Linked DNA regions of Caenorhabditis elegans. The protein of the gene in region 2 interacts with the protein of the main gene of each other region in a pairwise test. Each region holds a gene or a part of one and is shown on either strand. Other genes may lie near its edges.

Region 1 (7,742 bases), on a different chromosome or scaffold from region 2:
AAACTCCCCCTCATCGTCCATCCCCGCTCTAAGGAAGCTCCGCCTCTTTTCCCGCCTTCTTCACACCTAATTACGGGTGACAAGTGAATGAGGTGAAGGAGAGAGGGAGTAAAAAGAGATCAGTTAAATAAAAAATATATACCAGCAACAATTATCAGAAGATTTGGGCGATCGGGCAGGTTACGATATTTTGAAAAAAATCTTGGGTAGGTCTCCAGTTTTTCCACAGAGAGTGGACCAGGTGTTCGAAACACAAAATATTTTGGGAATATCTCACTACCATTACTTTACTTTTAAAACCGTATACCTCAATAAAAACATATCCTCCTACAAATTATGAATAAAAAATTGAGTGCCGAGCTAGAAAATTTCGGTCAATCTTAAAAATTCATTGTTGCAACCAAAAGTATTACGATTTAAAATTTTGGTCTGAGCCCAAAAAAGTAGGCTAAAGGCATCACTCCAGTTTATGATGGATAGAAAAAGTTGCGTAATATAACATGGGAATTAAACATTATGTAATAAGGAGATGCAACGCAATATGTATGTGTTCAAGGGTTTAACAAAAGTCAAACACGTGTCACTACTTTTTCGATCTCTGGTAACCGCAAAAAATTTGGTTTGAAGATTTGGCTTTGCCTCTATTTTATCAGTAGTACTAATGGGAAAAAGTGGATGTAAATCTGCTTTTTTACCTACTTGATTATTTTTACTTCACCACCTCCTTTCTAACCAGTATCAAATCTAATTAAATTGACCGCCCGTCACTTTCACCTCTTTGAAGATAGAGAAATAGAGCCCCCAATTTTAATTTTAAAGTATTCCCTCCCGCTTTGACACATACTTACTTTACTTGTCAAGATGACACGCTCAATTAGCCCTTTTCATCTCCTTCTTATCCAAATATTCACCGCGTTGCAAGATTTTGGAAGGAAGTAACTAGAGTTTTGAAAAAATGTAAAAGCTTGGCAGAAAATTGCCAAATTTTTGGCAAGAGGTACTAACGCCGACATATGTTTGCAAAAATATACAGGGAATTGCACAAGTTCCATAGAAAACTATCAAAGTACAGCAGAAAGGTGTCCCTCCAACTGTGAAAATGTGTGAAGTTCAAAACTGAATATTTAATCTAAAGTTCAACTTTGAGCACTTTTTCTTATAACTCTTGCTAACACTGCAAATCATAAGGTGCATATAGTAATCTCAACTACCGTAACCCAATTTTGTCATCCTGAAGAACTGAAATTCAATAATAACTTTCTACCTCCAATCAACCGAAAACGCGGTAAAAACTTTCGCCAAACAAAAAAAAACGGCAAATTGATTAAGACAGTAAGACAGCAAAAAGGGGGGAAAAGACGAAGATTGTCATCTGAAATTGGGCCTTTCAACACTTCAAAGACAGTGAAACACAGAAATACCGTACCTTTTTGAGAGACACAGCAATGTCGAGCCCTCGCACGGGCCGCTTCAAGATTAGATCTTTTGTATGATCATCAGGAGAGTCTCTTAAATTTCAATTATATTTTTCAATTGAAGAAAGAATATTCAACATTTGAGGCAAGTCATTTCTCCCCTTTTTCGGCCTCCCCTTAATTAGTTTTGATAGAAAGGAGAAGGGTGTCATATACACAAATTGGCGCATCTTTTCATTAATTGGATGAGAACAGGTATGATACGGTAGAACACAAATGTTTCTGATTGGTTCAGTTATGACAATTGATTGATCTTTCATAGCGTTCTTATTATTACATCGAAATATGCTTGCGTGCCTGCCTGCCTACAAGGCTGGTGTAACTCATCTGGAAGACCACATGGTGCATCTTGACTTGCTTGATAAAAAGGCCTTCTTAGAATTATTCAATTGCAGTGTATTATTATAATTTAAAAACAACACTTAAAAGAAAAACAACATTTTAATTATTATTCAATTTTTCTTTGTGTTTTTTAAGTCTCAATATTCGAGAAGAAGATTAGTCATATTACAAAAATCTCGGCCTACAGAAAAACTACCGTAACAACCTCGATTTTCTAGAACAGATATCCAGATTCTTCACCTACATATATCATCATTCTCTTATCTTTTCCTTCTTTTACACTTCTCTGATAAACAGTCTTAAATCAGTCAATTGTCTCACTCAGACAGATTTCGCGCATCCAGCCGTAAATGAAGCATAAACCAGTCAATGTTATGGTAATAAAATCATGATGATGAGAGGACAGTGGTAGGCGAGGAAAGGTTATGCAACGGTCGATGACACGTAACCGTTATTCATCATCACAATCCTCTCAATGATGTAGATGACGAGATTTTGCAGATTGGAAGTGCATGGATAAGTGAAGAATAGTTTACAGGGAGAAGGGTCTCGGATTCAGGAGGATATATTATATTAACTTTACAATCTGAATCGTGTGGGTCTTGCCACGAAAATAGTTTATATTGGAGCTTTAATTTTTATGGCGAGCGCTTGTTGTTATCCTTTATCTTGGCATCTTAAATTCGAAAAAAAAGTACCAATTGCACCCCATTGCTCAACTTTGACAGCTCATATCAGTTGGTATTTGTTTTATTGAAAAACGGTCAACTGACAAAACAAAACACTTGCTATATGTTTTTCTACATTTTTTAGTTTAAAATTTATTGATATTTTTTAAACGAACCAAGATATATCCTTTCAAAGTAACGTAGTTGCGTACTAGAAGAAATACGGTATCAGAATTTTTTTCTCGTGGCGAGGCCTTTCGAATACATTTTATGCGCCTTTGAAGGTGTATCTTTGGTAAGGAAATTGTTTAAAACTACTCCGAAACTGCTCAAACACCCAAATCTCATAGTAAAACTTTTTGAAATTTGTTAAGTTTATTTTCACTGATCATAATTTTTGGAAGTCGGCCAAAAACTTGTGGTATAATTTTTTTTAACTGAAATTGCGTTTCAAATATTTGTATGAAAATTCCAGTAGTTAGAACCTGTAGCATTGCTCGATACTTCTCAAAAGTCTACATTTTTGGACAATTTGGCAATTTACCAAAAGATTGACTGAAATTTTTAAAAAACCCAAATTGAATGCGTTTTTGAAAAAAAAAACACATATTTTATTATTTGTTTCTGAAATTAATATCCATGCTATATATCCACGTGTGAGACACTAATAAAATCTGCAAATATAAATAACTACAGTAATCCTGATCCTCTGGGTGTCATATCCGGCTTGACGTATAATATGGACAAGCTCAACGTAAACATTGCGCAACTTCTTGTCAAACATCTCACCATTTTCAAACATCTCATCAATCATCCACCATAACCTTCCTTTCAATTATTTTAACATGCAGAATGCTCGTCTCTCTCCGGATCGATACGGTAGATATTAATCTGAATACATTCCCTTGCGATTTGGATGTTATTTCCCCTTTAATGAGAGAATCTTCACACGTACCGCACCGCCAAAATAGGTATTTTAATTGTGTCAAACGGGGCATTCAGATTGAGGCAACTGATTTGTTGAGTCCAATTTGCCGCAACACAATTAATTAAAATGAAGGCGGATAAGAAAAAGGAGACGGGGAATGACTGAGAATTTTCAACAATTTGATTTTCACGAGATAAGTATGAAAGCGGCGAGGAAAAGGTAAAAGTAAATAAACATACAGGGAGCTTAATATGTTTTAAGAAAGAAGCTACAGTAACTCAGGCTTGAAAACCGGACGTTTGGTTTTTCATTTTTAAAGTTTTCATTCATCAATCCCAATTCAAAGTTGTTTTATCAAACGAACAACAAGCTTTCAAAGGCCTTTTTATAAATCAAATTTCATTTAAAAGTGAATTAACATTTTAATACTAATTCAGAAAATATAAACCGTAATCTTGTCAAAATTAAGAAGGAGGGAGACGAATTTCTTTGGATGGGTCTCGCCACGCGGAACAGTTTGGTATATGCGCCTTTAAGATTACTGTAGAAAATTTTAAAGAAAATTTCGGGTTTTAATCCAATTATTCTCTTCGATTTCCTGTTTGCTCGCTGATTTTCTAAAATTATAGCTTTTAAAACAATTTTTACATTATTTTTGCATTTAATTCGTTGATCTGCACCTCATCAAACGACCTGAATCGATCTCACCTTGCTAATGTTAACTTTCACAATTTCATTTTGTCTCTCCCCTCGTTGTTATCGATTTTTACACATTTGGTTCTCTCTTTGAAAAGCTATTTTTCAACATCAATGAATTTTGTTTCAGAATGAGCTCCGACGAACAAAAGCCCGAAGTTAATGGATATTGGACGGTAATAATTCATTTTATTACAATTAACGATAATATATTATTGCAGTCCGTGAAAAATTTCTCTTCGTCTGCCGCTACATCAATTAATAATGCCACCACATCTGCATGGAACTCGGAGTTTGCCGCATCGACGTCAGCGGTCAGCATATACAATTTTCATTGAAAAAAAAAATCGAAAATAGAAATAACAAAAATGCGTTTTCGTATTGAGGCATTTCTCAGAGAAATTTGCCTTTCCAGTAATTACAGTAATTAAAAAAATTATTTTTGAAATATAATTTTAAAAAACGAATGAATAGATTTTAAATGTTGTTTTCTTTTTCTTATTGCAAAAAAAAGCGAAATATGAAATTCAAATTGTTCAAAAATTCTCATTAAAAATGTTTATAGACCGTGAAGGATTTTTCGACGTCTGCCACGAAATCGATCGGAGAAGCGGCAACTTCCGCTTGGAATTCGGAAACTGCATCAACGGCAACATCGGTAAGTTACCCTGTAAATAAATATAATTTTCAAACATATACTTTTTATTGTAGGCTATTTCTGAAGCTGCGAAAAATGCAAGAAGCTGGTATGATAGCTCATCGGAAGAAAACGAAGAGGTAACGCTTTTGTTTCTGAAAAGAGTATTTTTTTGTCTTTTCAGCTGGAACCTTCTGGACACGGCTTCAGAGGAGGAATCGCTGCACTGAGTAGAAATGCGAGTCACTACGTGATCAGTACAGTCGGACGGTCATCAAATATTCTAAACATCTTCGACAAAACGAACAAATCGAGCCTTGGAAATCCGAGATGGTGGATCCGATTCGACCGACCTCATGGAAATGTTGATTTCCATCACATTAACATCAACAAAGCAGTGACTGGACTGAAGGATCCTCATATTCCACTCACACCGACTACTGCCAAAACTATTGGAGTGCTTGGAAAAGTTGCAGAAAAAGCAAATGATGTCGCGCCACTGCTCACGACAGCGGCAATGATCTACGAAGCCTACCGAGTTGGACAAGAAGTCCACAAGGATATGAATCATGGGACGACAAGAAATACAATCAAAACATTGGCTGCGACGAGTGGAACTTATTCCAGTGGATCCATTGGAGCTTATGCTGGTATTTATTTCTACTCGGTTTTTATTTTCATTTAATTGTTTTTTTACAGGAAGTGTGATTGGAACATCAATTTTTCCCGGATTAGGAACGATTTTCGGGGCTGTCGTCGGAGGAATTGTTGGTGGACATTTTGGTGGTCACTACAGTCACGTGGCAACAGAAAATGCGTTGAATCATGTTAAATGGGACGTTGTAACGTTCGTTTGTGATGGATGTGATGAAGAATACACATGGAAAAAGTATCAAGAGATTGAAGGAACCTGTTGTGAGTGCTATTCTGATAAAACAATTTTAATGGAAAACGCATTTTCGAAAATCATAAGTTGGTACTTTTTCAGGTACAAGATTCAACAACAAGAGGCAGGATTCCGTGGATTATTGGTTCAAAAAGCTCGAAACAAATCATGATTTTTAATTCCGATATTCGATTTTCACTCTTATTCTTATTATCTTCACATTTTCACTTTGGCACCCATAAGCTAATAAATTGTTTGAAATTTAGTTTAAATTGACATTTCATTAATAGTGTGGTGTGCCAAATATTTCCTGAAAATATTTACACGTGAGAGAATAATCGATAATTATCGGCGATCTGAAGAACGGAGACGACGAAATGTGAGAAACAATAGTGTGTAATCCTTTTGGACAACGTCTATTAGCTCAGCCTAAATAAAATAGCAACTTTCGATTTTCGGTCTGCGAACACTTTTCAATTTTGTGCACATTATTTTTGCTAAATTTACATTTTCCAGAAATATGAGTAGTTCAAACGACAATAAAGGGAAACCCACAACAAATGATCAAAGTGGTAAATCGGTGAGTTTTAAAATCTCCTTTTCTAAAAAGGAATCTTTTTTTAAGAAGAATTATAAAAGTTGAACATATACCTTTTTTTCTTTGTTAAAATTGAATACTCAAATTTTCTGAATAATCCGACTGAATATGGAATAAAAGGAGGCGTCACTGCAATAAGAAGAAATGCGGTCAAATATTTGATTAAAACCTCGGGTAGAAAATCAAATATTTTGAACATTTTCGACAAAACTAAAATATCTTCTCGCGGAAATCCGAAATGGTGGATCAGATTCGATCGCCCTCATGGAAAAGTGGATTTCCATCACATCAACATCAACAAGGCAGTTACTGGACTCAAGGATCCACATCTTCCTATCTCTCCACTGCCAAAACTGCTGGAGTTCTTGGAGATGTTGCTGAGAAAGCAAATAAAATTGCTCCAATTTTGACGACTGCCGCTGTGATTTACGAAATGTATCAAGTTGGAAAAGAGGTTAAGAAGGATTATCATCACGGAACCACACGAAATACTATAAAAACAGTGGCAACCACGGCGACAACTTATGCAAGTGCATCTGCTGCAGCATTGGCCGGTAAGTGTTGTAATTTTAAAAGATTCAGTAGAATTTTTTACAAAAACTTTATTACAGGAAGTTCCATCGGATCGGCAATCTTTCCTGGTATTGGAACGATTTTCGGAGGAATCATTGGTGGAATTGCCGGGGGATTATTCGGTGGACATGTTGCCGAGACAGCTTCAGAACAAATTCTAACTCACGTGAAATATGATGTCACAACGTTAACCTGTAAAGAATGTGGAAAAGATTATGATTGGAAGAAGTACGAAGAAGCACAAGGAGTTTGTAGCTGCCAACTTCAAATTGTTCTGAGCAACGACGCTGCTACCAAATTATGTGCAATTTTGGCGGAAAAGATTCAAAGTCCATCTCAAACTTCAAATTATGCATTTAATTCTTACCTTTGTTATTATTATCTTCACATTTTCGCGTGTCTCAACAAGATTTTGAATCATAAATAAATTATTTCTAGAAAACAAACACTCAAATTGAAATGGCAAGAAGTGCAGATGAAAATTCAAATGAGAGAAATAAAAAGAGAAAAAAGAAAAAGAAAGAAGATGAAGGGAACATGGTATGGAACAATTATTAACAATGCTCACAGAAACAATTTAGTTAACTCAAGATCCAGCTGGTGCAGCAGTTCACATATCATCAGCTGGAGCTCAAACAGCTGGAACAATTGGCGGAGAGGGTCTCACAACGATCGCGCAAGCTGCTCCAGTTTTACAAGTTGCTGCAGTTGAATACGATGCTTATCAAATTGGGAAAAACGTGGAAAAAGATAAAAGGAGAGGGACAAGTAGGAATACTGTTAAGAAAGTGACCACTACAGTAGCCACGTACGGTATTGGATTTGGTGGAGCACTTGCAGGTGTTCTTTCCATTTAAATCTGAAATTTTGAAGAAGCTGAATATTTTAAGGTGCTGCAATTGGAACTGCAATTTGTCCAGGAATTGGAACTATTGTTGG
Region 2 (6,461 bases):
TTATGAATTAGAAAAAAAATATATTTGAGCGTTTCACATATTTCATTTCTCATCTTCGACTGAACGAGACATGTATCAATTGAATGTGTATCGGTTATGTTACTGCAAACTTTTAAGCGGCAAAGCTCTACTCTCACCCCAAAAATTTCGATCTGAAATTCTTTCAGTGCACTTTTTACTTCGCAGGCTTGTAGAATTGCTGCAAATTTTTTTTGTGCAAAGTTTTAATGTTTTCCAGAAAAAATAGGTAAACATTCTGGGGCATTTTTGAAAATTTTCAAATTTTTTTTGCAAAAAATTTTGTGCCGAGTGGAGTGAAGAAATTTTCAGATTTTTTTCAAAAAAAAAAAAATTAAAATGAAAAAAAATTCAGAATATTTACCTACTTCTAACCGTTCTGAAAAACATTGAAAGTTTGCACAAAAAACTTTTGGAGCAATTATACTCCAAAGTAGTGAAAAAATACACTGAAACAATTTCAGATCAAAAATTTTGGGGTTGAGAGTAGAGCTTTGCCGCTTAAAATTTTGCAGTGACATTCGTATGGAACACTTTCAAATGACACATATGTCATTTTGAAGTCTGACCGTAAAATGAAAACCTTTCCTTGTTAGCTCAAATTATACAACGACCAAATTTTTACCTGTTGTAAAAGTTAGGCATTAGGTAATTTTTTTTGAGATTTTAAAGATCCCCATCTTTTTCTCAACACACAATTTGAACTGTTAACTTTTAGAAAATATTAGAGAAACGTGCAATCTGTTCGTTTTTCGGCTGCTGTTCTTATTTCTCCGCTCCCCGTCTCTCCCCTCTCTTTTCAATTTTTTGTTCTGCCACCACCACCACCAAAAACAACGGACGGTATCTGAGGAGAGGGGGGGGGGGGGGTCTCCCGTCTGGAGTCTCGGTCTGTATTTGTCTTTCACTACTCCCGTGTGTTGGGGGGTATGTGTGTGTGCTGCGTGTGGTTGTTGACCGAGAGGCAGTGAGAGAAAACGACGGAGATGAAAAAAAAATCTGTCGGGCCTCTCTGACACGCTCCTGCTATCTGCCTTATCTCTGGCGAGAAAAAAATACGAAACTTTTCGAAATATTGCCCGCAAAAGTGGGAGGGCACGAAACTCTGTGAGGGGCACAACGAGTAAGCGAGTGATAATCATTTTATGGGTCTTCCCTGGTGCACCTTCATTAGAGCCAGATTTTGGTAATGTTGCAGACTGTGTTTTGAGCGCCGTCATGAAGAAAAGCAAACATCATTCCCAACGATTGTGTTCGATATTCCTCCCTCTTCCCCTCTTCCCCATATTCCGCAGCGCCCGTTCAGTTTTTTTTGACACATAAATTTTTTGTTGTTGTTCTTTCTCTCTTCTTTTATACAACCATTTTATCATATTTCAACAAAAAGTTATATTTATATTCAGCAAAACATACAAGCTCACAGTGCTCAGCTAAGCACAAACTCTATAAACTAATTTAAAAGTGCAAGTTTAGGGCATATGGGCGAGTTATTTGTCATCTTGCCACTTGAAAGAACTCGTTACTGGTTTTCGATTTTTTTTCGAGGAGAACAGAGAGAGAGAGAAAATTTACTTTTTGCGAACGCTGCACAATCTTACCCTGAGACGCTCGAAAGTTACCGTGAACCCCCATAAGCTTTTTTTTGATAAACTTTGGTACTTTCTTGGTACTTTTGTCTGCCTCAGCTGTTCTTCGCAATTTTTTTTGTCAAAATTACACACTTTTCTGATCTTCTTTGTTTACCGCTTTGCACTTTTTTACTTCCCGCGGACCACCCGATGAAAGATCAGCCGGGACTTGTAGATTTTTTCACACTTTTATCTCACTGGATCTCTTGAAAATTCTATCGTTAAAAAGCAAAAAGCAATTTGGACGAAAAAGTCAGAATATAGGTGGCCCGTTGAGAGACGGCTAAACCGTTCAACAGCGATACGATCTGCGCGATAAAATTGTGAGAAGCAGTGTGAAACGCTATGAAAACCATGCTTTCTTAAAATTTGGGTGGGAAAGGGGCATCAGCAGCATGCGGGGCATATTAGGAAGCCAAAAAGTTTCCGAATCTGAATATTTATTCCAGTTGCGGGCCAAAAATTGAGAAAAGCTTTCAAAAATGCAACTGTACTGTTATCTTATAGGAAATTTCGAATTAAAAAATATTTAATTAAAATTTCAAAAAGTTACTATGCTGTAAGTTGAAGCCTTAAAAATGAACATATGTACAAGTACTTTAAAATCAAAAATTTACTTCAACTCTTGATAGTGCTATGTGTCTGAACTTTTGTTATCTTGTACCGGATTCCACAGAAGTTCTATGAGACCACATCAGCATCTGCCTGATTACTTTTTCAAAAACTGTGCTAAACGTTTTTGTGCACCTGATAAAACAGCCGTTAACTGCTGCTGATAAACTATACGTCTGCCAGTACCACCCACAGCTCCGCCCCCTGCCCCATTATTCAATTTTTCGTGTTCATCACTTCGGCCGCTCCGCAATCGAACAGTTCCATTTTTTCCGAACGAGACGCAGAGAAACACCCTCCATCCTCACCCGCCGTCCGATCACAACGTCCGCCTTTGTCCTTGACAATTGGCTCGTCTCGTTTGGACGGGGTCCTGCCCTCTTCTCCCCTCCACAAGTAGTTCCCCCACCCCATGCCACAGTGGTTTGGTGATGGTGCGGGCCGCCGCCGCCGATCAGGGTGTGTATACGAGTATGTAACTGAGTGTATGAATCTGTGTATGTGTGTGAGTGTGTGTGCACATTCTGCTCGCTTTTTCTCTTTTATTCTGCCTTCCAATTGATAATGCAATTGTGGGGAGGGGGTCAAGGTATAGCAACACATGTTGCCAGATGGTGAGACAAGAAGACTCAGCCATCATTATCAGTAGTTTACAAATGATTTCCTTTTTTTTCCTCATTTCCCTTTCCCCCCTCTCATCCGTGATATATCCTTTTTTGCAGTTGCCATTTGATATTTTGATACTGAATAGCTCTAAACATCAGACCATCTTTCATATGCTTATCAGCTTATTTTTAGCCCCAATCGATCTTTGAGACAAACTGAAACATGTGACCTTTTGTCTCGTGCAGTTTCAAATGTGTCTGCGCTCACGCCCCACTCACCCCACTCACCGTCTTCTTGCTATCAGATTTTCGTACCACTTTCTTTTTTGCAAGGATCCAATTCTCGATTCAATTTCCTTTTTTCGCCTCTTTAACTGTATTTCTTTTCCAGCTTGGGTCCCCCTTCATTCATATTTATCAATTCACAATGGCTCGTCAACCACAGCCGGTTCTGAGCTCTTCTTCGCGAATGCAGTCAGCTCCGATCAACATTGCATACAGTAATCGCGACGATCAACAAGTCTGGAGAGACAACTACTACCGGTGGAATCATCAGCAACAGTTTCAGTTTGATGATGATCAAGATGAAGACGTTCAGCAGAACCATCATTCCGAAAATGCAGAGGATCAGTTCATCATGATGCAAAACGGTTTCTCAGGAGGTGTCATCGAGGAGATCGAACAGACAAGCGAAAACGACAATCAGCCAGATGAGAATGACGTCAACGAACAAATCGGAAACAATGACGAGGCGATAACACAGCAAAAAATTGCCGAGATGAATGATGACCTCTTTGAACAGCTGCTGGCGGAGAACGAGCGCAAGTTACGGCAACTGATCAGCTACGTTGAGAACGTTCATCTTGTACTCAAATGAGTCATTTATCTTTTTCTCTAACAAGGTGAGTTGTTGTTACAAGTAGTATTACTGCATTGGTACACAGTGTCGGCGTTGACAGGCGATTTATGCACAAGAGGGCCTTCCGACATCTAAGTACACTTTGTATTCTGAGACCATGCAAATGGTGGGAGCATACATTATGCAATATTAGTCTAGGAATATTTAATGTAACAAGAGACTTTCCGTATATTTAACATATTTCTTTGATGACGAAAACACTTGTGTAAGCATAGTTCAAATATTTAAACGATTTTTTTCAGTATTCCCCAGTATCTGCATTATATTCGTCAACAATTAAAGCAAAGCCAAAAACATTTCCGTCACTCAACTCAACAATGAAAGAAACCATTGCCAATCACATTTTTCTCCCGTTTTTTGCTTCCCCGTTCTAAATATCCCCGTTCAACTCTTCCCTCTCACTCTTCTCAATTGTATTCTGATACCTCCTGCACTTTGTGAGCGTGTGTGCTCAATGACAAAGTTGACCTCACGGATTCCACCTTCAATTTCTCTTCTATCGGACTCCCGCCGAATCACCTCACATTACCATAATCATTGCACATTGAATAGCTCGTTTCACACAAACCACAATCTTGGGTCGCTTCTTTTTCTCCTTATTTCTTCCACTTTTCACACCCCTTAATTGAATATGATATTTTTTTATGACCATGAGATACATACACTTCCGCATAGTTTCTACGATGATAACTTTTTGTGATTAGCATTTTGTATAGATGTCCATTTCTCCCCCCTCATCCCTCCTATCTTTCCTCCTCAATATGGAAACAAAATACTACAACGATGTAGAAATATAGTTGAACACTTTGTGGTTCAACTGATAATATTAATAAACCTTGGGTATACATTTATCTGTACAGTTGTCACAAGATGATTGATAGGTTGATATGTTGATAAGAAGTTATTGAGAAAATGTTTTGTCACGTGCTAAAAAGGACAAGAAATTCAAAACAATTTGTTTTCTTACAATAAAAAATTTGAAACGACGCAGTCGTCTGAGAATACTTTGATCTTGACGTTTCCTGGAGATGTCTGGCAGTTTAGGTCAAAAAACAGTCATGTGTCCGTGTCCTTTTGACAGGTTGCCTAGCGGTCCCGTGGCTTTTTGATCTCGACAACACAATACGGCGTATCATGCGGTTGGAAATAGTTCAGACCTCAACGAGCAGAACAACAATGCCGACGATCAAAAATTTAGTTGCATAAAATGTAAACAGCGGGTTTGCAAACGGGAACAGTCGAGATGGGTGTCACGATGTGTATTGGTTGGCAACATGCCAAGGTTTAGTTTGCAGGCTGAATTGCAGGTTGACGTCGGATATTTTATCTGAATAATTGGTTCCTGGTCAGAAATCGTGTGTTAATTAGAGATCCTTTAAAGATTTAAGAGGAGTACCTAAATCTGGGAAATATTTTCAAATGACTCCAAATGTTTCCCTGATTCCGAATATCTGAAAAAAAATTTCCCTGATTTTATATTTGAGCTTAAAATCGCGATTCTCATTTGCGTCCCCATGAGCTTTTTCAAATGCGCGCCAAAATAAATTATCCTTGGAGCACATTTGCCTCATTTAATTTTCCCCATTTATTTTTACTTTTTTCAATGTTCAATCGGCACGAAAGAATATATTTTTCAAAAAAAAATCCGATAATATGCGACAAAATTAAGTGAAAATTGCTTAAAAACTGAAAAAATTAAAAATAAATGGAGAAAATTAAATGAGGTAAATGCGCTTCACGGATAATTTATTTCGGCGCACATTTGAAAAACTCATGGGGACGTAAATGAAAATCGTGATTTCAAGCTCAAATATAAAATCAGGATAATTGTTTTAAATTGTTTCATATAGATATTCGGAATCAGGGGAAAATTTGGAGTCATTTGAAAATATTTCCCAGATTTCCGTACTCTACCTTCAACAATTTTCACGTCCTTTTCATACTTTTTGAAGTAATCATAGTTTTACTGAACCTTGAAATTTATTTTTAAAACTGGTGACTAATTAAACATCTGTAAAATTGAGATACTGTAAAAAATTTCCCTTTCAGTTTTGCGTGAAAGCCTAAGTTTCTTCAAAAAAACTTCTTCCGATGCTTCATTTCATTGATATTATATTTATGTTCAGATAATCAAATTCCACTTTCTGGCGCTGCCGCCAACCACTTCAGACGGAAATTCGAATATTATTCCCATACCCAAATAAAAAGTTTGGCGCCACTAAGGAAGCACAAACACACACAGTCATCGGTCACATGAAGATTAGTGCCATGGGTAATTGAACACTTTTTGCAAAAAAAAAAATACCGTCACCACCGCTACTTCACTTCTAAAATTTCCTTTTTAGCACATATATCACGTGACTTCCGCTCATTACTTGAGACCGAAATTTCAATTTCAAATCAGCTATCGGCGCTGCAAAATGCAATTTACTCTTACTATCACGCCGTCTACCGCATGCCATTCAAATGTCGTAAAGCACAATCAGTTCTTATCAAGTGGTAATAAAAAGCAGACTTCTATAGACAATAAGCGGCTATATTTAAAATTTTTTAGATTGACAGGTAGTTGGAAACAAAAAACTAAATTTTCTAGATTTGAATTTAAATTTCCATTTGAATTAATAGGAAACAATATGATATAAAAATGAATACTGATAAGATGATGCGAAAAATGACGTC
Region 3 (9,355 bases), on a different chromosome or scaffold from region 2:
CGAATGTTTGGAATCCAGCAAGAGTGAATGCAGAAGCCATTTCTCGATCACCATTCGAACCTTCTTCACGGATTATAGCGACTCGTGGGGCTACAAATTTCCTACTTTTATTCGTTTCATCTTCAGAAATATTTTAATTTTAAATTTCCAACAAAAAACTGTATTTTCAGAAATTTCTAAAAATTTGCAAAACGACATTTTGTCGGAGGTTTATTTTAAAGTCGTAGGCAGTAGGCGGATAAACTTCCCAATTATTCTGATATAATTTTATTCAGCACTACAAAAGTTCAAAATTAAAAAAAAATCTGAAAAAGTAAAAATACAAACCTGTAGAAAAGTACTGCTCATTATGAATAAACGCTGGATTATAATACCAATCAAAATCACATTTATAATTGATCTTCTGACATGTTCTTCGAACCTAAATCATACATCTTTAAACTTAAAACCATTATTAAACTTAAAATCCCAAACCTCTCTTGCTTCCTTCAAACTCTTGGGATTTGTCTGAAACTCTCCCAATCGATCTCCAACCAATTCCCATTCTTCTCTCAAATCAACCAGCTTCTCATTGATTTCCAAATGACCATTCACATGGATTTTTACGTGGGCATCTGGACCAAACACGGCAGATGCTTTTCCAATTTCTTGGCATTTAATTCCAGCTTCAGAGAATATGTGCAGAACATTTTCAGGATTAGAAACTTCCAAAAGTATGCCACATTCTTCAGCGAATAAAATATCGATAGGCTTGATATTCTGGTTGGGGGGCTTGATATCAATATCAATAGAAACATTTCCAGCAAATGCCATTTCCAGAATAGCAGTCAAGAGTCCTCCATCCGATATGTCATGTCCTGAAAGTTAGATAGTTTGGACGGACAGTTAAAACAAAAGGCAGATTCAATAATCCATAAAAGTTGTGATGTTACCTGCCAAAATAATTGGTTTTCTCAAAGGCCCTGCCAGCTCTTCTCTATTCAGTAACTGTTGAACAATTGAGAACACTTTAGAAATTTCCGAGAAGTTCTCAATATCCGGACAGTCGTCTCCAATCTAGAAAATTAATTTATATTTCTTCAATAAATATATTTTGCCTATATGAATACATATTATCAGACTAGAGAAAATGAAAATCTCAAACCTGTGAATAAACTTGTGCCAGTGCACTTCCTCCAAGCCTCATTTTCTCTTCGGAACTTCCAATCTTGATCCACAAGATTTTTGAACCGGGAACAGCTTTCAGCGATGGATTCACAACTTTTGTAACATTTGTGCAAGGAGCATATGCGGAAAGTACAAGAGTACCGGGACTCTGGAAGATTTAATTTTAGATTTTTCATTACAGAGCCACCAAAATTGGCATGACACGAAATTGAATACGTTTGGAAAGAAACCGAAAAAAGTTCTCAGCCGAAATGAATTTAAAATTCTGTGGCATTCTTCTCGTATTTAAGATGTGTCAATTATTTCCTAGTCAACTAGAAAAATGTGCTCATCCAAACCTTGACCACTTCTCCATGGGCGGTCACCGCCATTGATAACGAATCTTTTCCTCCGTCAATCGCACATCCAATCTCACGAAGTCCACGACAAAGAGCTCCAACAGCATCAACTAAACGAGCCCCTTCTCCGTCACATTTTGCAGCCCACATCCAGTTACCCGACATTTTTACGTCCTTCAAAGATAGTAGTAGTTTTTGGAATTTGCTATAAAAATATATAAGAAAGTGTACTTTTAAATCGGTAATTGGTGCCCAAATGAGGTTCATTATCGTCTCCGCAATACACATTCGGGCTCCTTTTTCAGCGTCGATTAGCATTTTTATGGGTTGTTCGCCAAGAGACACGGCTCCACCAACCTGCAATTTTGACATGAGCAGTTAAGTCTTTTATTCTGAAATTATTGTAGATGCGGCAGAAAGTTAACGAAGTGCGCCAGAAATCTTCTGTGACTGGGCAAGTGGCCAGCCAGTAAATTCTTTGTTATGTTTTCCTAAAGATCGTTCGAAACTTCTCTGTAATGTGGAAAAGGTTTTATACAGCTTTGTACTGGTTTTCAAAAGCTTATACCTTTTTGAGTTTTTTTTTCATATTCTCGGTCATATAGCAAGCAAATGAAACTACGTCTCCCGAATTTTGAAAATCCCTTTACATCTTTTTGGAAAAGTTCCCGATATCGAAGAAAGAAAAACTTGACCACCATTGTTTTTTCTCGGACATGGCGCAAAAACCGACCTGTACGACAACGTGCAATTTTTGAACTTGACATCATTTACCCCATTCAATTTAGTTAGGGTCTTTGAACTCTTTTTTTCAACTCCCCCCATTTTGCTCCTTTATTTCCGGAAGGCTTCTCATTTTCCGGGTGGCTCCAAAGGGCTCACTGATGCATAAAATGTGCCATTCTTTTCAGTTTTCCCCCCTCCTCTCAACTAAGCTCAAACTCTTTCGTTCTTCAATTGTTTTCGGTAGTTCTTATTTTAGTAGGACCCCCCGTTTTCTCCAAAAATGTATTCACACAAGGCTTCTAGTACAACAACTAAAAATCCAATTTTCTTCTCTCTTTGTTCGTCTTCTAATGTCTTTTTGATTCCTCTTTTTGCTTTCCGAAATTTTTTGGACGGATTCCGACGGCAGAAGCGGGAAAGAGAGAAGAATTTGATGCAAAAATTGGATTCCGGAAAAGAAGACGGAGAAATATTTTGGCTGTAACATCATCAACCTAATGAACTGCCATTGTTGCCTGAGCAGAATGACAATGAAAAACGTTTGGTTGATTGGCTTTTCCATTCTTTTTTTTCATTTTCCGCTTGTTAAGCTCTCGTTTTTGGAATTCTTGGACATTCTAATGAGTTTAATAGTATTTTCCATTTAATTTCTGTTATTTTCCATTTCTGTTTGAATTTTCCGAGAAACTGATGCATAGAATTAGGCTTAAGCTTAGGGTTAGGTTTAGGCTTAGGCTTAGGCTTAAATTCAGTTGTTCTCCATTACCTATTAACTCTCAACTTTCCATTTTCCTTGTCCGTTAACACAAGTGATTCTCACTTTTCCAATCTAATCACGCCCTCTTCTTTTTTTTGGCTCCAACGACTCCGCCTCCTTTTTTGTGCTTCACCAACAACTATTGTTGCAGCAGTCAGTCAGTGAGACAACCATGCACATCCTCATCATATTGCTCTTTACGAGCATCATCTCATCGATTCAAGCAGATCTTTGTGCTCATTGTGATTGTGATTTTATATCTCATACAGTTGTATGCAACCGCCCGTCTCTTTTAATTCGAACAGTATCGATGCTTCCAACAATTCGACAACTTCATCTTAATTCATTGAATCTCCCACAACCACCTCATTTCTTATTTCATCCAAATCTTCGAGTACTTCGGATGAGTCGATGTGGAATGCATGAGATTCCAGGAAGTACATTTTTACCACTGCCAGGTTTGGAGGTAGGCAAATTTCTTGAAGGCCTACATAGATTTGTTGGTGTTAGTTATGTGTAACCTGAGTTTTACAAACTAAAACATTATAGCGCTTGATTTTTATTTTTGCAAGCTCAATACAAGTTGAGGAAAACCTTAGTTTGAGAAAGAATGCCGGACGTTGTATCAAATACAAATAAGTAGGACTTCAAAAAATATTAGCGTATCTAAATGTAGCTGCAGACTGCAAGCTATACAATTTTGAATTATTGAAACTAAACAACGAAATATTTCAAAAAATCTGTAAAATTTCAGGTGATCGATCTCTCAAACAATCATCTAGAAACTCTTCCACCTACAGTACTTCGCAGTCTTAAATTTCTTCGAGTCCTTATACTCAGTAACAACCGATTATCAAATCTGGACCAACTCACATGGATTCTTGCACCGGGAGTTGTTCTTGAACAATTAGATTTGTCTGGCAATCCAATTGCAATTGCAACATCAATGACTGTTTTTCCACCTGTTCGACAGCTTTTCCTATCCGATACAAGAATGGAAAGTGTGAATGAAACTGCGATTATGTTCAAGGTATTTTTGATTTTCATAAACTATGTCGCAAATAAGTTTTGTGCGAAAATTTACAGAATGTGCTAACTGACACTACAAAGTTAGACAATCTAGTGCTGAGAATCTAATTTGTAAAAGTTTTCAAGTACATCACCACTCAAGAAAAACTACTACACTACCCGAACTTTATATGTATCTTAAATTTCCAGAAACTCCCCGGAAAATGCGATAGAGATGTGTGCCGTCACATTCCAATTCACAATTTGAATGTTTCAATTATCACTACAATTGATTTTTCATCGAATCGAGATTTGGAAATCGATTCCGGCGCATTGGATGTGTTTTCGAATGCAACATACGTGGATTTGAGTAATACAAGATTGCCAGTTGGATTTGAGGAATGGTTGGAGAGAAAGAGTCGAGTTAAAAGCTTAAATATCAGCCACTGTCAGGTAAACTCCTTAACTTCTTTCAAACTCGAAAATAGAATCAATCAATGGAAGCAGAAAAACAAAGATATACAGGCAAAAAGTAGGCGTGTAGGCAAGAAAAGGTGCCTACCAAGGTCACAATAAAAATAACGAATCTCGATAATACTGTGCCAATTTCCAGCTTCCCCTTCATGAAGACACTTGGACCGCATGTGGTCAATTTCTCCATTCTCTCGATATATCCGGAATCGGTGCAAAACGACTGAGATTCTCAAGATTTTGCCCAATTCGGTAATTCCTTTCCCAATTCCTTCAATACCATCCTAATTTCCAGATCAGTATTTGCCCGTGATAACTTGATATCCTCCGTGTACATTGACGCTGTTTCCATGGAATCTTTGCATTTGGAGAGAAACATGTTTAGTGAATTCCCTATTCCACCACCAGGTGTTGAGTTGACCGAGCTTCATACATTGGGATTGAGCCATAATTTGATGACATCGTTGCCTCCGCATGCTCTTCAATCTTACCCTAATTTGCAACATTTCGATGTTTCAAGCAATCAGTTGAGCGAGGTTTGTTTAGGAATATTTTTGAAAAATTAAATAGTGTCAGCAAATAAAAAAGTGTCTACAAATAAAAAATTGACGCTATTCTATTGTGTGCAATTCTATATGTGTTGCCCACCAAGCAGCTGAGCATTTTCATAGTTTGAAAATTCTTCATATTTCAGATAGATCCTCAAGCCTTCCCATCAATTGGACTAGGACTGATATCACTTGATTTAAGCTCCAATCAACTATCTTCTCTTCCTCATCCAATTCTTCCATCCCTGCTACTGCTGGATCTTTCCTTCAACACAATTTCTCATTTGGATCCACATTTCTTTACGGGACTTCCAATGCTTCAACAACTTCGAATCGCTTCAAATCCCACTCTATTCTCCAGATGCCCAAATCGGGATTCTCCGTGTTGGAGTGATCATTTGGATGAGCTTACTTCACTTGTTGATTTGGATATTTCGAATTCAGGATTAGAATTCTCTCTTCATTGGAGACATTTGAGAACTCTAAAGTCACTGATTCTTCGAGGAAATGAAATTCGAATTATTGATTCAAAATCACTTCCAGAGAATTTGAGGACTCTGGATTTGGGCGAGAATCGAGTGCAATTCACATCAAACTTTTCGAAGTTGGAGCATTTGAGGTTAGTCGGGAAGAACTTTTTGACCAGTTTAAGTAATAATAATAAAAATTCCCATACGGTTCCAGTATCGTAATTTTGGAATTCTATAAAACCGTTAAGTCAGCTCAAAAAACCAAGAGGTATTAGTGGGACACGAGTACTAAAATTGTAATTTGATATTCATGTTCTCAACTTTCAGAGATTTACGAGTTGATCAAAATCCTCTCCGATGTGATTGTTCCCTGTATGACATTGTGCCACATCTTCTAAATCAAAGTCAAATATCTGATCCACTACTCTATTATTGCTTCTCAGGTATTTCAAGATTAACTTAAACTATAAAGAAAAAACAATTTATTACAGGATCCTGGCAATATCCCCTACTTCCGTATCTTGCGTCAGTAAAGCCATGCGTTGACACAACTCGTAACTTTTATTCAATCCTAATAACCACATTTATCATCGCATTCGCCATTGTGGCAGGACTCATTGGTGGTTTCCTAGTGTATAGAAAGTATGCGGATCGAGCCAATTTTGTGTACAAAAGGATATCACTTATGGAATCGCCAGTCAGATTATAAGTTCTTTATAATCTATATACGTTATTTTGAAACGGGTTACTTTATATTATCGATGTTTAAATAAAACTGTATGTATATCATGATGATGGTACAATATCCGACCTTTTAAGTAGTGGTACATCATTTTCGTGATGCGCACATCGTGCTCGGTCCTCGATTACAATGAGCCCACGAAGGCACGAAGGACACACACCCACGAAGGACACACACACACACCACACACACACACACACACACACACACACACACACACACACACACACACACACACACACACACACACACACACACACACACACACACACACACACACATTATTTTCAGAGACTGACATTCCAATTTTTGTGGAGGAACAAATCTCTGATCTGTTCTCCTAAACAACTTGATTGAGGTCATGACAAAAGTTGGATCTTCTCAAAAATGTTGAAAGCTGCATAATCAGAGAAGATTTGTCATCGGACATGTCAGCAGCAATGCGACTCGTCCATTCTTCCATTCAAAACTTGTCCCCGGGGAAATCGAAAACGGAAATCTGACACGAGAGAAGAAGTCCCTGCTCTTGCTCTCCTTCTTTTTTGCAACAAAAGGGTCCGACTTGTTGACTGTTTACTTACGACCCGCCATGGTTCAGTTATAAATCTGATTCTAAACGAAAAAAAGGGGAACAAGAAGACGTTTTTTTTCAGATTTACACACTCATAAATTGTATTACAGAATTTGTGTCACACAAAAATGAGTAGCAGTTGGGTTGAGACGACGAAAAACTAATTTCCGACTGAATAAAACGAACGATGAAAACATTTTTTGTTGGGGTGGGTAAACATGTATCGGGATTCGTAGATTGTTTTGTTAAAGAAAAAGTTTCTGGAAAATGGAGAAATGCTTAAAATGTTGGTACTGTAATGGAAAAATTCTTTTAAATTTGAATTTTCTTGGTTCCAGTCTGAACTTGTTTGCCCTCTAGAAATTAATTCCAAATGACATTTTTTGACGGTTAAAATACTTTTGGTTTTTTTAAAGTTTTTATACACCTTCCTTTAAGGTTACTGTACTTGAAAGAGGAAACTACTTAAAATTGCTACATAAGATAGTAAAACTTTGTGGAGCTTTAAAGTTACTTTACAGTTATACTTGGTTAATTTTGTTCAAACAAGTTTCTTGAGATAATTGCCTGATTTCATAATTATTCTTAATCTGAATTGGACAAGAATTTCAATAAACCTAACCGTATCAAAATGTGACAGAGCCACGACTGCTACATCAGCAAGTGGGGTGTGTAGAGGTCCAACACATTGCTGTTGAGCAACCAATCCAGTTACAGATCGGTCTACTTTGCATGTCAAATATCTACAAATAAAATTTTATAATAATTTTTCTAGTTCAGAATTACCTTTTGCTAGCAACTGAAGGCAACATCAAAACTCTTTTCAGAGCTTTTCTTACTGTCAGATTTTCTGGTAACTCTAGTTTCTTCAAAACCCTCGGGGCACTTTTCAACTTGAACACCTTCTTTTCTCGTTCTCCAAGTTGCCGGGTATCTAGGTCAACTGCAATTTCACCAGATTTCCCAAGGAGCTTGACTCTTTGCTCTTTTTCTACTTCTCCAACAACTGACACATGACATTTTTCGCGTTTGGAAATGGTTTGGAGAGCATCGAGAAGTGATGCATCTACAAGAGCTGCGTCGTTTTCCTGCAATTAACCTAGAGATGGAAATCTGGAACAAAAAAAAATTGACTATGAGTTGAATGTTTATAACAGTTTTTTGCATAAAGATTTTGAAACTCAAAAAAAAGTCATAGCTTTAAAAAGATTTAAATCGGGGTGCACGGGTATTGCTGTTTGGAAATTGCAATTTTGGTAGATGCCGGGGGGTAACAAAAATTTCAAATTTTCATGTATTTTTTGGCAAGACATTCTTTGGTTGTAAATAAAGAATTTTGTAAAATTAGTTAACTTTCAAAAACAGAAGATTTCAAAAATACCTGATACTCAGCTGTCCATAGTTCTCTCAACGATATACTCTCATCACCGAGCTGGAATGTGTCACTTTTCACTGTGACACCACATCCCTCCACCAATTCTTTGATCACATTTCCTGAAATTGAACTTTCTTTTGAATTATTATATTTTCCTATAGAATAAACATTTGTTTTCTTTTTACTGTACTGTTTTGTATTTTTGTGTTGTCTGTTTTTGTTGCTATTCTCTGCTTTTGATGCTGTAAGTAAATTTTTTTAAGTGATAAATTTATTCCACACCCTGCTTTTTGAAAAAAAAACATATTTTCAAGTAACTGGCCCGATATTTAAATCCAAGTGACCTCACGTGGCCTCAATAAAACTATTATAAATACGGAATGCCAAGCAGAACTAACTCAGTACCAACATCAAATCGGTATAAGAAAAGTGAGTTTAACAATTTCTCTCGAGTTAATCAAAAACTCATCTCAGATTCATCTCATTTACAGAATGCGTTTGAAAATTTTCATGGCTTTAAGCCTTTTGTGCTACACAAATGCTCAAGTGGACAGAGATTGGAGTTTCCAGCAAATGTGCGAATTTTGGGGTGGAGAACAAACTTATCGTGCCAGAAGTGGATACAAGGTACAGATATATGATTTATCTACTGATGTTATGGATCTCTTCAACTGATCATATCTCTTCAAGCCTCATTTATACTATTTTCAAAGCATTTGCAAATGCATGATTAGATTTTGGGATCCGTTACGGCTAGTTGAAGATTTATTTATGGAGTAGAAACTTTTGAACAACTCCGCATGTTCATCGATGTAAAAATTGTAAGAACAATCCTGGAAAGTCATGATATTTTTAAATTGAGGCGGAATTCCACGTAGATGCACATAAGTTAATGAATGGTATGGCAACAGCTTCCTGGATAATCGCATTTTGATAATTTTGAGAAAATTGTTTCCCTAGTAGTTTTTGAAGTATACAACTGACAAGTTTTTAAAATTTCACATTTTCAGTCGATAGAAGGTGACAAATGCACGTTCAAGTTTCCTAAGGCATCGAACAATAAGGTTTTTGTCGAAAATATTCGTCCATATGCCAAATTTATTTATTTTTATTATAGGAATCCGCTCAACGATACTGCGAGGAGACTGTTCCCTATCACATTAACAATCCAAAAGCATCAGA

The links.
Region 1: the proteins of M163.1 (region 2) and C13G5.2 interact in a two-hybrid assay, tested with the Caenorhabditis elegans proteins (one large-scale study listed by BioGRID).
Region 3: the proteins of M163.1 (region 2) and lron-5 interact in a two-hybrid assay, tested with the Caenorhabditis elegans proteins (one large-scale study listed by BioGRID).

What each region holds. Positions count from the first base shown.
Region 1 is NC_003281.10:8,614,937-8,622,678, reverse strand, and holds C13G5.2 (uncharacterized protein), read left to right. Parts: upstream 1-4,216; 5' UTR 4,217-4,240; coding exon 4,241-4,285; intron 4,286-4,330; coding exon 4,331-4,423; intron 4,424-4,674; coding exon 4,675-4,767; intron 4,768-4,820; coding exon 4,821-4,886; intron 4,887-4,930; coding exon 4,931-5,396; intron 5,397-5,445; coding exon 5,446-5,661; intron 5,662-5,734; coding exon 5,735-5,811; 3' UTR 5,812-5,905; downstream 5,906-7,742. Other genes in the region: C06E1.11 (uncharacterized protein), read left to right, coding at 6,469-6,784, 6,842-7,230.
Region 2 is NC_003284.9:14,500,654-14,507,114, reverse strand, and holds M163.1 (uncharacterized protein), read left to right. Parts: upstream 1-3,290; coding exon 3,291-3,740; downstream 3,741-6,461.
Region 3 is NC_003281.10:4,619,892-4,629,246, forward strand, and holds lron-5 (LRRCT domain-containing protein), read left to right. Parts: upstream 1-3,137; 5' UTR 3,138-3,160; coding exon 3,161-3,454; intron 3,455-3,742; coding exon 3,743-4,018; intron 4,019-4,206; coding exon 4,207-4,449; intron 4,450-4,609; coding exon 4,610-4,719; intron 4,720-4,762; coding exon 4,763-5,003; intron 5,004-5,058; exon of another isoform or gene 5,059-5,161; coding exon 5,162-5,634; intron 5,635-5,812; coding exon 5,813-5,928; intron 5,929-5,976; coding exon 5,977-6,194; 3' UTR 6,195-6,277; downstream 6,278-9,355. Other genes in the region: pfas-1 (putative phosphoribosylformylglycinamidine synthase), read right to left, coding at 1-90, 328-421, 475-857, 933-1,056, 1,145-1,315, 1,506-1,679, 1,737-1,862, 7,421-7,541 and 2 more; clec-151 (C-type lectin domain-containing protein), read left to right, coding at 8,666-8,800, 9,184-9,237, 9,291-9,355.